Linked DNA regions of Drosophila melanogaster. The protein of the gene in region 1 interacts with the protein of each later gene in a pairwise test. Each region holds a gene or a part of one and is shown on either strand. Other genes may lie near its edges.

Region 1 (4,430 bases):
GCCCTTAGTCCGGGATCCGGCTTTGTCTCCGGTTTCAGCGCCAGTGCTGGCCTCTCCAGCGCCTCCTCTGCCCATGCCGCCCATGCCCATCAAGCAGGTGCCATCGCACCACCAGGCGCACCACCAACAGCCTCACCACCATCTTCACCAGTCAACCGGCAAGGTGGCAGCAAATCGCGACCCCGCTTCTATGCACCACCAGCCACCACGACGACCAACACAGCAGTGGTTACCGGGTCAGCGTCGTCCCTTTCGACCGAGCGCACCACTCAGTGGGAGCGGGATCAGTCGACGTCACTACCACAACCGCCGGCAGTCTATCCAGTGAGCTCGATCTTCCCCAGCGGTGGTGGCAGCGAGATGTCGGGCAAGAGGATTAACTATAACTACCACCCCATTATCGATTTCTTCGAGAAGAATCGCAAGGCGGAGGCGGCGGCTACAGTCAGTTCCATCGCAGAAGAGTCCCGCATAGTGGAGCAGCGTATATTCCCGCAGAATTCCCCCAAATCTCAACAGAATGGCATGGGCTTGGGCATGGAGACAATCACTGGAGTTTACCAACATCCCATTCCGGTGCCCAAAACGCACGAGAGGCGTATGGGTTACCGGGCACATAACGGTGGCGTGGGTGGTGCAGGTGCTGTGGGTGGTGGTGCTGGTTTCGCTAGCGATAACGCCTGGCTGCCCATGGTTGTGGAGTAGCTTAAGTCGCATGAGTCCATCAAAATCAAAGTCCTCAAATCCCCGAAATCTAACGTATTAACGCCGATGCCTTAGCTCGTAGTCTCTGCCGTTCTCGCCAGGAGCCTAATCTTGTAGTTTGTCTACCTGGCTCCTAATCTCAACCCCATTTATCCCAAAACCCACTCTAATGTTTAACCAACTATGTTTATTTATTTATTTATTTTGTAGTGTGTAGTGCAAAGATTAAGAGATGACCTCGTTTTTGGGGGAGGTTCAATTGGTCAAAAGCTTGGTTGGTTTGTCACGAGAGTTCTAGCAATAAATATAATTTATTGAAATCTTAACACGTGTTTGTTTCTTTAAGAAATGTGTCGAGTTTACTTTTACACTCACTGTACTTCTGTTAACACTGAAGCTAACAGAACAAATATTATAGCATCTTTTAGGCGCTTTTTAAAATTCTGACTTCTGTTAACAAAACAGGCATGCGCAACGGCATTGCCATTAAAAGAGCTGTTTTGTTTTATTGATAATATAATCTTGTAATAAATTCAAGTACAAGGCAATTAAATAAAGTCCTACAATTCAATGTTAATTATGGTGCTTTTTAATTTAAAACGTGACTAATATAGACATTTGTAGTATTTAATAGTTTGCAGCTTAATCAAATGTAGATGTTTGGAAGAAGATTTAAATACAATTATTTGCAATGAAAAGTTTACTTAAAAATTCAATTAATTACGTACCTTGAAGAGTCAAAGAATTTATTAAAATTACAAACAGAAACAAAAATTTTTTTTCCACTCACAAAAAATCTCATGAATATATTTATTCCTATTAGATATTCCCATAGAATATCAAAGTCCGCATAAATCATTCCCATCTAAAGACCGCATTATTCCCCATATTTTTAAAACACCCAAATTAAATGGACAGTGCATAAATTAATTCACCGTTCGCTCTGCCTTTCGCCCAAATGACACAAATACCAAATCAGTGGCTTTCGGCGAAGTTCAAGTTGAGGGTCAAGTGGCGGGCACTAATGAGATTCGAGACTGCGAAAATAAAAACACTTACCCACACGATCGAAAACTGAATTCAAGACAGAAACTAGTTTCTGCACAGCAACCAGAAAGTTGCAATGTGCCAAGCCACCGTTGTGGCGTATGCAAAGTGGGTTTCTAAAGCGAAACACGGCTTGAGCCCCGACTTTGACCAGTTATAACATTGGACGTTGAACGTTGCAACTTGCATCTGGCAGCTACTTGCAACGTCACTTCGGCTGGCCAGATTCGCTTTCATTTGCGGCCGAAGCTAACAAACGGCCGATGACGACGACGATGACGACTTCAAAAACATCTATCTCGTCACGAAAGAAAGAAAGAAAGAAAGGCTCGTGGCGCGGTGATCAAACTGGAAAATTGGAAAAACGGCGAGGAAATGTTATAAAGCCACAATGATAGCACACTTACTGCACAGTTGTCGGTTGGCCGTCGAACGCGAAAGTGAAAAGTTGCATTTCCCCCGACCTTGGGATAGAGAGAGTAAAAGTGCAATGGCTGTGCTAAGGACATACTTTTTGCTCCTCTTCTATTTACAACTAAGCCAGGCGATAAAAGTGGATAGTGGGAGCAAGGAAGGAGATTCCAGTAGCACTCCAAGTCCTCCTCTTTATAGAGTATCGAAGCCCGAGCACAAGAAACCGGAGAACAGGGTTCCACCGCATTTGCAGGACATACGTCCTGGTTACGTCGATGATGATGCGGGAGATGTGATCAGGATTATTGAGCCTCCTCAGCACTTTCAGCAGCTGAAACGTCTGCGTCAACGGCAACCTTCCAATCCACCTGTGGTTTGGGAGCAACCACGGAAATTGGCCACCAATAGGTTGAAAATCATGCCACAAGGAGACCTCCTCACGCAAGAAACCCAGATTCAAAATGGTCCTAATCAGCTACAAATACCCGTGGAAATCTTGGCCTCTGTGCGGAAAACAGAGCGTCTATTGCAGCGGCAAAGACAAAAGGCAAAGTTTCCGCTGGTAAGACAACGACATATCCAGCGACAAAGTCACACGTTGATAGCTCAAAAGGCCCTGGAACAGCAACTTTACCATCGAAGCCAGCAGCAAAGACTAAAAGCACTGTTAAGTCGCAATCAGGAGCTTAAGAGAAGTAAAAGAAACCGAAGGGATGTGCCTGTAAAGTCAAAGGAACCTTATGATGTACAAAAGGGCCTGAAGTTGGTGGCCCACATTGGGGATCTACTGAAAAATGCAACACAATATCTACCCGACGAGGGCGTCACCAATGAGGTGAAGAGGTCATCAATTTGCAGCAATGCAACCAACTGCGACAATCGGCGACGTCGCCAAAGACTTTTCAAACAGCACGACAAGTCAGCAGAGCGGGAAAAATTAAAGGAGAGGCGGCGCAACTTCCGGAATAAAGAGGCAACAACCACAACAGCAGCAACAACCAAGGCGACAACGACGACAACAACAACCACTGGCAAATCAGTGTTTTCAAGTGCCAATTCACTTGCGGAAACTTCCGCAACTCCGCTGGCCAGTCGCCTGGTGAATTCACGCAAATCCAAATCCAAATCGCCAAATAACAACCGCAATAGCAACTGGGGCCGCAACGATGACTCCATACTCTATGCGGATGTAATGACAAATATACGCAACTTGTGGCAGGAGCACGATCAGTTGGCGGGACCAAGGTTTATTGCACCTGACGAGGTGGCCAACAATACGGACTATCGCACCTTGGACGTTTATCTCAAGCAGCTGGATGATTTGGCCAAAAAGCTACCCACTGTGGCTCCCATTAGTGGTCTCAACAAGGAGGAGCTGCAGCGAGCTACGCCAACGCCCAGTTGGTACTTGATAAACTCAGAGGGAGGGATCTTTGAGACCCGACTGGATAGTCAAACTAAACCCTCGTCGTCCCTATTTCATCGATTCCCCGACATGCCCAATCAAAATCAAAGTGTGTCCACATTGGACTTGGAGTAGACATTGCTCTTAAAGTTTTAAGCTAGTTGTTACTTATTTATTTACAAAGAATAAAGTATTATTACTGCAACGGAGTTAGAAATGAAAATTTCTAAATGGCATTTACGTTAGTTTTAATTAAATGCAACTTATATAATTATTAAGTTATTAACAAGTAGTTAACTTATTAACCCTGCAACTCTTCGCCTCAACTCCTCCAAAGCTACATCTCTGGCGGATTCTTGGTGGCCAACCAAGCATTTAGCTCCGCTAATTACAACAACTCCCAACTCTCAAGTCACAAGTTCTTGGCTAATGCGGCAATTTAGATAAGCCCTAGCTGGCAATTAGCCCCGAGCTTGAATCCAAGCTGCCAAACGTGCGAAACGCATTGTCCCAAGCCCTGACCCCGCCAGACATGCAAAGTTGTGAGAAGATTTTCGGCAATTAGGCAGGTACATGGAAATTGAGTGGCTCAGATGAAGCGGAAGAAAATCTGACCTGACCTCTCTTACACGGGAAATATGTAGATCTGTCGGATCTCTCATTCAGATAATACTTGTTTTGGTTTCTGATCTACGTAATAGTTTTGCGGGGATTCTTGGAACATTTTCATTTCCACAATCGTTTTTTTTTTTTTTTTCGCTACCAAGTCTGAAGTTTTTGGGCGTCGTTTTTTTTATGGGATTAGAATGTTGTCCGGCCACTTTGACAAAGAATTATTTAATTTATAGAGCGTGTGTTG
Region 2 (7,921 bases), on another chromosome or scaffold:
ACAGTGCGCACGGGACGCGGTCCATTGACACCGACGCCATAGCTCTGGGCTAGCGTCAGCGAAAAGGCGATCAGCAGTATCCGGAGGGGCATCATAACCATTCCGCAGCAGAGTCGGATGGTAAATGTTCTGTTCGAACTAAGGGCAGCTGCTTATCAAGCAAGTTGGTTCCTGAGGCGTTGATAAGTGGCAGAGAGGCAGGCAGGCTGGCTGGCGGAGATCGAAGAGTGTGGACCGCGGCCTGGCTTTGTCTACTTGTTGACGACCAATTAAGAGCAAGGGTCTGTTGATATTTGGCCAGATGCGGCCTAACAATGCGGAATAATTTAATACGGTGACCCCGATCTAACGACACTTTCTTCGACGTCTCACTTCGGTAGCCAACTATCAACTGAAAACAGGCTTTTTAGCTTGGTGGCTTGAAGACGAGCAGGCAGAACGGCAGACAATGATTCAGGTTCATTGGCGGCAGGTGGTTTTCCCCCGATCTTTTTCGCACTCTTTACAGACTTCCGTCGACTGTTTGTCGTGGTCATTCAGGCGATATCCGAACTTTTTGTCTGCCCGTGTGACGGGTTCGGTCTGAAAATTGTTAACCAAATATTGTCTCTTGTAGTAAAGCCTCTTATATGGCTGGCAGCTAATGATGACAGTCGATCAATATTGATGGCAAGCTTCAGGGGTGGGCGGGCTTAGCTAACCAGCAATTAGCTTTTTACGACTTGCTAGCACTAATTGTATTTCGCACCGGCTAATCGAGAGAATCCATCATTGTTCGTTTCGTTGCAGCAAAGGGAGCAGCTGGATCGCCTTAAGAACGACCAGATCCACCAGGCTGAGTTCCACCACCAGCAGATCAAGGAGCACGAGGAGGCCATCCAGCGCCACAAGGAGTTCCTCGAGAACCTGCACAAGTGAGCGGTGATCCATCCACCGGCAGAAGGCGACCGCACGGACGGATGAACTCGAGACATTTACTAAAATGCATTTCACTCTCTTTTGTATGTTCCCAAGTGCTCACTACCACTTACCAGTAACCCAAAAATTATATATGTATTTGAAAAGTGCGTAATAAACCATCCATATTTTGAATGCTTTAACTAGAAGCTCATCTTTAGCTCGTGCTGGAACAGGTTACTAAAGTTTATGGCCGCTTCGTTACAGAACCAAAGCAATAAAGTTCGTTGATGTGTTTCTTTATAAGTTATTTTTCAATTCCTCTTCGTTAATAACTAAGGCCTTATCGCCTGCCGTTATAATCGACTAAAAATCAATTAACTTAAAAAGAATAACAACTTGTAAAAAATAGAATTTATGAAAAGAGTGTATATTTCACGTACAAGAAAACACAGTTATACGAACTATTGCGCGGTTTTTATAAATAAAGAAGTGCAATTTAAACGTATGCTGCATTATCTTCGAATAAAAACAAACTGTAGGGTGCTTAACTAAGCGTTTTTGCCCACAACATGAGGATTCCTCAAACACGAGCGGCTACTTAAAATGCTAAATCATTGCATAATTAGCAAGTTTGACCAGCTTTCATTCAGTTTTAGCGTGTAAACAGTTCATTATAGTAGTATTGTTAGAAAAAATTGAATACATCATACCTAGGAACTTTCTATATATCTATATTTAAAGAATTGAAAGGGCGTTCAACAGGCTTCCAAATATTTTTAAAGATAACCTGCGCCACCTGTGGAAAATATCTTGAACCAAGATGGTATTAAAAAACATGGAGGTAGGTATTATCAATTATAACTAATTAAATTGTTACTTTTGTGTGTATTAAATAAAAATTACATTGTACGTAACATTTATTTATGTTTATTAAAATTTTTCGTCACGTTCATAAACTTAATGACCCGCAGTTGCGTTCGTCCCTAATGAATACTGCGCTTGTTATCGATAACTCCCGAGGCTATCGGCAGTGTGACCGTTGAATGAACATCTGCAGACACGTATTTATTTAGATGTTTTTTAATTACAAATTGAATAGTGCTTAAACCAGGTAGCGCAACCAGTTGAAAAAGAGCGCAGCAGGCACTCGAAATGTTCGCCAACCTGAAGAACAAGCTGATCGAGGAGGTGAAGGCGTCGCCCTCGAAGTTCCAGCAATTTGCGAATGCTGCACAGGTATTTTTGTGTGCGGGGGCGGGGCGGTGCTTATTGCCGATGAAAAATGCAAATTGAGGAAAACATACGCACACAGACACGGAATTGCATGTGTGTCGGTGAACTGGGAAGGGGTCGCCTTCGATTGTGCGATTGTGACCCATTTCTGGGTGCACAAGTGAAAAGTGAAGTGACCAGCTGCTCATGAGTCTTCCTTGGACTTTTTTCCCAGGCCGCCGTGAGCTCATCGTCGAGCACAACACCCAATTCGGAAACGAACACCAGCAACAATGAGAACTTCTTCAGCATCACGGAGGAGGGTGAGTACGCCATGAGTCACCTGGGGTTCCTTATCTCACATATCAATCCATCTTTCACCGCGCAGACACACCTCAGAACTCGCCTTATCGCATCCAAAAGCTGCCGGCCACAAGTGCATCCGCTCTGCGCGGACGATCGACGCAATCCCTGAACGGCGCCACCTCCAGGACCCGCAAGCTCTCCAACTCGTCCATGGCCAGCGACGTGTCTTTCCGCCTGCCTACATATGAAGCGCCAGCTGTAAGTGGCCGAAAAGTCTCCGAGATTGCTTTAATTATGTGTTCTACTTTCCAGGTGTACCACTTGCAATCTGATCTGGACGAAACGAGCAGCGAGTTCGACGACTCCGCCTCAACGGCTCGTCTGGATGTGATCACCAAGGACCAGCTGTACGATGCGTACAAGAAGTCACTTGATCGTTACCACAAGTACCGCTGTCGGTACACGGATCTGGCCAAAAAGTACAAGGAACTGGAACGCGACAGCTCCAAGGCGCGGGTATCTATCTATCTGCCTATCTAATCGGTCTGCTTGATAAGCTTGTGTAACGAACATTTCCGATAATATCGCTTTGCAGTCTGTGCTGGTGGAGACGCAAGACAAGGCGCTGCGCCGAATCAGCGAGCTGAGGGAGCAGTGCACGCTGGAGCAGCAGGCCAAGGCGCATTTGGAGGAGGCTCTGCGCGTTGAGATGGACGACATGAGCTGCAAAATGCAGGCTTATCAGACGAAGCTCCAGCTGCTGGGCGAAAATCCTGAGAATATTACGGCGGCTCTGGAGAGAAGCGGCCAACAGCTGGAGTCCGAACAGCTAATCGACCTGGAGGAGTCGATCGGAAAGTCGCCCCTGTCCACCAATGGCAGTTCCGGTGTGTCCGACTTACAGAGATTACTTAAAGAGCGGGACGAGCAGCTGAAAAGTGTGACCGAAAAATACGAAGCTGTGCGCAAGCAGGAGGAGGAGAACGTGCTTCTTCTGGCCCAGACAAAGCAGGCCATCCATACGGAATTGGAGCTAAAGGACACCGAGGTGCGTAAGCTTCAGGAGAAACTCAAGCAATTGGAATCTCAGCGAGAGTCCCACAACAACGAAGTCAAGGAGCAGTTCAAAAAGCTTCAGGCCACGAAGCAGGAAGTCGATGCCAAACTTATGGCTACAGAGCACCTGCTGAACACCCTAAAAGAAAGCTATGCGATCAAGGAGCAACAGGTGGTCACACTCGAAGCGCAACTGGAAGCCATAAGGGTGGAAAACGAACAGAAAGTAAAAGATCTGCAGAAACAGAACGAAGATCGAAATACCCAAGCAAGCGATTCAAGCGAGCAACTAAAGAAACTTCAAGCAGCCGTTCAGGATGCGGAGTCCCAGCTTTTGTCCAAGGATCAGCTCTTGGAATCTCTCCGAAGCGAACAAGCAGCCAAGGAGCAGCAGCTAAAGCATCTGAAGGAGCAGTTGGGTAAACTGAAACAAGAAAACGAAAATTACTTAGATAAATTGCGAGAAAACAAGAAAAGTAGCGATTCTCAAACTAACGAAGCACAGGATCAGCAAAAGAAACTGCAAGCAGCCAAGGACGAAGCCGAATCGAAGCTCTTAGCCACGGAAGAACTTTTGCACTCCCTCAGGAATGATTATAAAGCACAGGAAGAGAAAGTCGCTTTGTTGGAAGACAAACTGAAAACTCTTTCCAAGGAAAACGATGTGAATGTAGAAAAATTGCACCACATTAATGAACAACGAGAAGCTCAAAGTACTGATTCCCAGCAGAAGATCAATGAACTACGTGCAGCTAAGGACGAAGCCGAAGCCAAACTTCTTTCCACTGAACACAGTTTGAACGCACTTCAGGCCGCACTCTCGGCCAAGGAAGAGCAAGCGGCATCCTTGGAGCAAAGCTTGAATGCGCTTAAAACCGAAAGTGAGCACAGTTTGCAGGACCTGCGCTTGCACAATGATCAGTTGCTCGAAATTGTCCAGCGTCATCAACAAAACGACTGGGAAGCTCAGCTCGCTCGGGCAAGAGAGGAATTGGCAGCCATTCAATCGCAACGGGAGCTCCATGCTCTCGAACTCGAGAAGAGCCTGGAAATGGAGCGCGAATCTGTGGCCGCTTTGAATTCCGAGAAAGCCTCCCAGGAGGAACAGCATAGGCTTAAGCTGGAACAGCTACAGCGAGAGATTCAAATACTACAAGATCAGCACGCGAACTCGGAGAGCGAAACAGTGGCTGCACTAAAAGGGCAGTTGGAGGCTCTTAGTCAGGACTTGGCCACCAGTCAGGCCAGTTTGTTGGCCAAGGAAAAGGAACTGAAAGCCAGCGGCAACAAGTTGAACAAGATAAAGAAGCAACACGAGCAGCACCAGGCGAAATCAAGCGATCAAAGCGCTCGCCTCGAAGCTCTGCAAAGTGAGTTGGCAGATCGACTGAGTCACTCTCGCCAGGTGGAGAGCGAAAAGGAGGAGCTGCAGGCACGCGTCACTGGAATTCTGGAGGAGATTGGCACCATGCAGGCGCAAATGCAACAGGTGCAAGACTCACACAGCGAGCTGGAACGGGAGAAGCGCAAGCTGGAATCCCGCATCGAGTCACTGCAGCAGGAGCAAGTGGACAGCAGTGCCCAGGACGAGAGGACCTCAGCTAAGCTGGAGGAGATCCAGAGCGAAAACACCAAGCTGGCCGAACGCAACTGTCTGCTGGAGGAGCAGACGAATCATTTGGAGTCCCAACTGCAAGCCAAACAAGACGAGATCGGCAAGATCCAGGCGAAGCTGCAACAGGTGCTCGACGAGCACTCGAAGCTGCAAAATGCCCAGGAGCTGATGGATCACGACCATCGGACGCTGCAGGATAAATGCGATGCCTACGAAAAGGATAAGCTGCTGACCAAACACACTCTGGACTGCCTGCAGTCGGCCAGTGAGGAGCTGCATAGGGTTAAGGCTAACTTAGATCGAGAACTGAAGGAGCAGGACCAACAACTGTCGGAGCTGAGAGAGCGACAAAGAGAACAGGAGCAGCAGCTGAAAGACCAAGCCGAACGATGCGCGAAATTGAAGGCCCAAAACAGCGAAAGTGAGACCCAACTGCAGGCCACGATCAGCAATCTTCGCGAGCAACTTGATGCTTATAAGCAGACAGAGCAGGGCATTCAGGAGAAACTGCAGGCTACCAATTCGTCCTACACCACGCAAATTGCCACATTGGAAGCTCGCTGGAGCGCCGCCAACTCAGACGTAGAGCGTCTTCACGAAGCCAATGATGCCCTGCAGCTGGAGATGGAACAGTTGAAGATTAAGCACGGCCAGGAACGCGAGGAGGTGAAGGAGTCAATTGCCCAGAAAAACCGTCAGGTGGTGGAGCTCCAAGAAGCCATGGCCACAAGGGATCGTCAGCTACAAGAAAAGATTGAAGCCTCCGAAAAATTGGCCAAATTCGATGAGATCCTGATCGAGAACGAGTATTTGAATAAGCACACGAAGCAATTGGAGGCCGAGTTGGCTGAGAGTGCGGAGCTGAAGGAGAAACTGAAATCCCTGCAATGTGAATTGTACGTTCTTCAGGAGAAGGCCGAGCAGCATGCCGTCCAAATGGCCGAAAAGGAAACGCAGAGTGCGACAGCAACGGCAGAGGTGTCCGAACTGAAGAAGGCCATCGAGGAACAGGCGGTGGAGCTGACCCGCCAGAAGGAGCACGCCAGCTTTGTCACCGAGCAGAGTGATGCGGTCCAAAAAGACCTTCTTCAAGCGCAGCAGCAACTCCACGATAAGCAAATCGAATTGGCAATGAGTCGGGATGAGCAGGCCTTGCTGCAGGCTGAAGCTGATGGCTTAAGGCAGGAGGTGATTTGCCTTAAGGAGCATTTATCCCCCTCAACCGACTCCGACAGCCTGCGCAGCCTGAACGAGCGACTGCAACGGGAGCTGGAGGATCTCAAGCACAAGAGCGCCGGTGCGGAGTCCAATATGCAGCAGGAGATCGAGGAGCTGCAGGCTAACAACCAGCAGATGGCGGAGCGCATCAACGAGCTGGAAACCCTGCGAGCCGGCATACAAGCCCAGCAACTCCTCGCCAGCATGGCGCCCAAAAACGTTCAGGAGGCAGCCGCTGCCGGCGAGAAGGCTGAACTGGAGTCTAAGCTCAAAGAGATTATGAACGAGGTGCAGGACGTGACGAATCGAAACCTGTTCCTGGAGCAAAAATGCGAGAACTTCCTCATACTCGAACAGTCCAACGAGCGACTTAAGCTGCAGAATGCGAAACTCTCGCGGCAACTGGATGAAACCCTGGTGAGTCCATAGCAGCGGTGCACCCACCCTTTGATTCCATTGCTGATTCCTTTCTCTTGCCGACAGGTATCCATGCAACACAGCGAGGCTGTTCCGGCCAACACGGAATTCGAGTACTTGCGCAACATCATGTTCCAGGTGGGGAATCAAACTAGATAATGTCCAAATATATACTCCCAACTAACTGATATATTCCATTTCAGTACCTAACTGGGAACACGAACAACGAGACGCTTGTCAAGGTGATATCGGCAGTGCTCAAATTTTCGCCGCAGCAGGCCCAAGTTGCACTGGAAAAGGAGCATCAGCGGCGATCGCTGGTAGGGAAGCCCATTTGAGTTCCATATTGCATCGTTAACTAACCCAATACAAACACTTGCAGCTGAACAAACTGATCTAGCATGAACTGATGGCTCTCTACGGCGGAGATTGGAACTGGGAGCCCTGCCCGGTGGCGCTTCTAGACCGCAAATGATGTCGGAGATCACAAGTACCTTATACTTATACCTCACCCTCGCGCACGGCATGGGTGCTTCCGGCTGACTCTGCAGGCATTTCGAGTAGTAGAAGCCGCTGATGTATGTGTATGCCGCATCCTAGATCCATGTTATTGTACAGTCCACGAATTAAGTATAGCTACTTCTGTCCAAATCCACGCTAAGCACTTTTGTACATTTTGATTACGCTTTCCTTTGTTTCATTCACTTGCTTGCGCTCCATGTCCCATGTCCACGACTTACCTTAACCCCAGCCTAACCTAAGTGCAATCGTTTTGTGTATTTTAGTTGTAAGTTTAAATTTGTAAAGATCCGCAGCGCAGTTGGCATTTAGTTTAATTCAAAATCTATACAATAACATACATAAATAAATAGTTACAATTCATAAAAGGGAATCTCAAATCTCTGTACGCCGCCCAGTGGCCGCCACGTGACGGAAGTGCCTCCTCCGTTTCGCAAAGCATCGAATCATGGCCCGCGTTAACGGGTCGAGCTCGTAGTTGGGCCTGTAGTCCTTCAGGGCATCCAGAGTGTACTTGAATCCGAATCTCTGCAGACGTAGGCTGGCCTTGACGGCCGCCAGTTGAACTCCGGATCGTGGCACTGCCACGAGAAGGCGCTTCAGGAAGCCTACGAAGGCGGAGATATCAGTATCCAGGGGCAGTGGCTTCAGTACCAAAGAGATGCAGTGCAGCAGAAG

Evidence for each region.
Region 2: the proteins of CG13720 (region 1) and Golgin245 interact in a two-hybrid assay, tested with the Drosophila melanogaster proteins (one large-scale study listed by BioGRID).

What each region holds. Positions count from the first base shown.
Region 1 is NT_037436.4:4,498,251-4,502,680, reverse strand, and holds CG13720 (uncharacterized protein), read left to right. Parts: upstream 1-2,180; 5' UTR 2,181-2,242; coding exon 2,243-3,706; 3' UTR 3,707-3,825; downstream 3,826-4,430. Other genes in the region: NT1 (neurotrophin 1), read left to right, coding at 1-705.
Region 2 is NT_033778.4:23,371,046-23,378,966, reverse strand, and holds Golgin245 (Golgin-245), read left to right. Parts: upstream 1-1,921; 5' UTR 1,922-2,052; coding exon 2,053-2,136; intron 2,137-2,347; coding exon 2,348-2,435; intron 2,436-2,500; coding exon 2,501-2,676; intron 2,677-2,730; coding exon 2,731-2,934; intron 2,935-3,013; coding exon 3,014-6,724; intron 6,725-6,790; coding exon 6,791-6,862; intron 6,863-6,927; coding exon 6,928-7,044; intron 7,045-7,106; coding exon 7,107-7,124; 3' UTR 7,125-7,607; downstream 7,608-7,921. Other genes in the region: yellow-d, read right to left, coding at 1-101; CG13551 (uncharacterized protein), read left to right, coding at 790-918; Ice1 (uncharacterized protein), read right to left, coding at 7,619-7,921.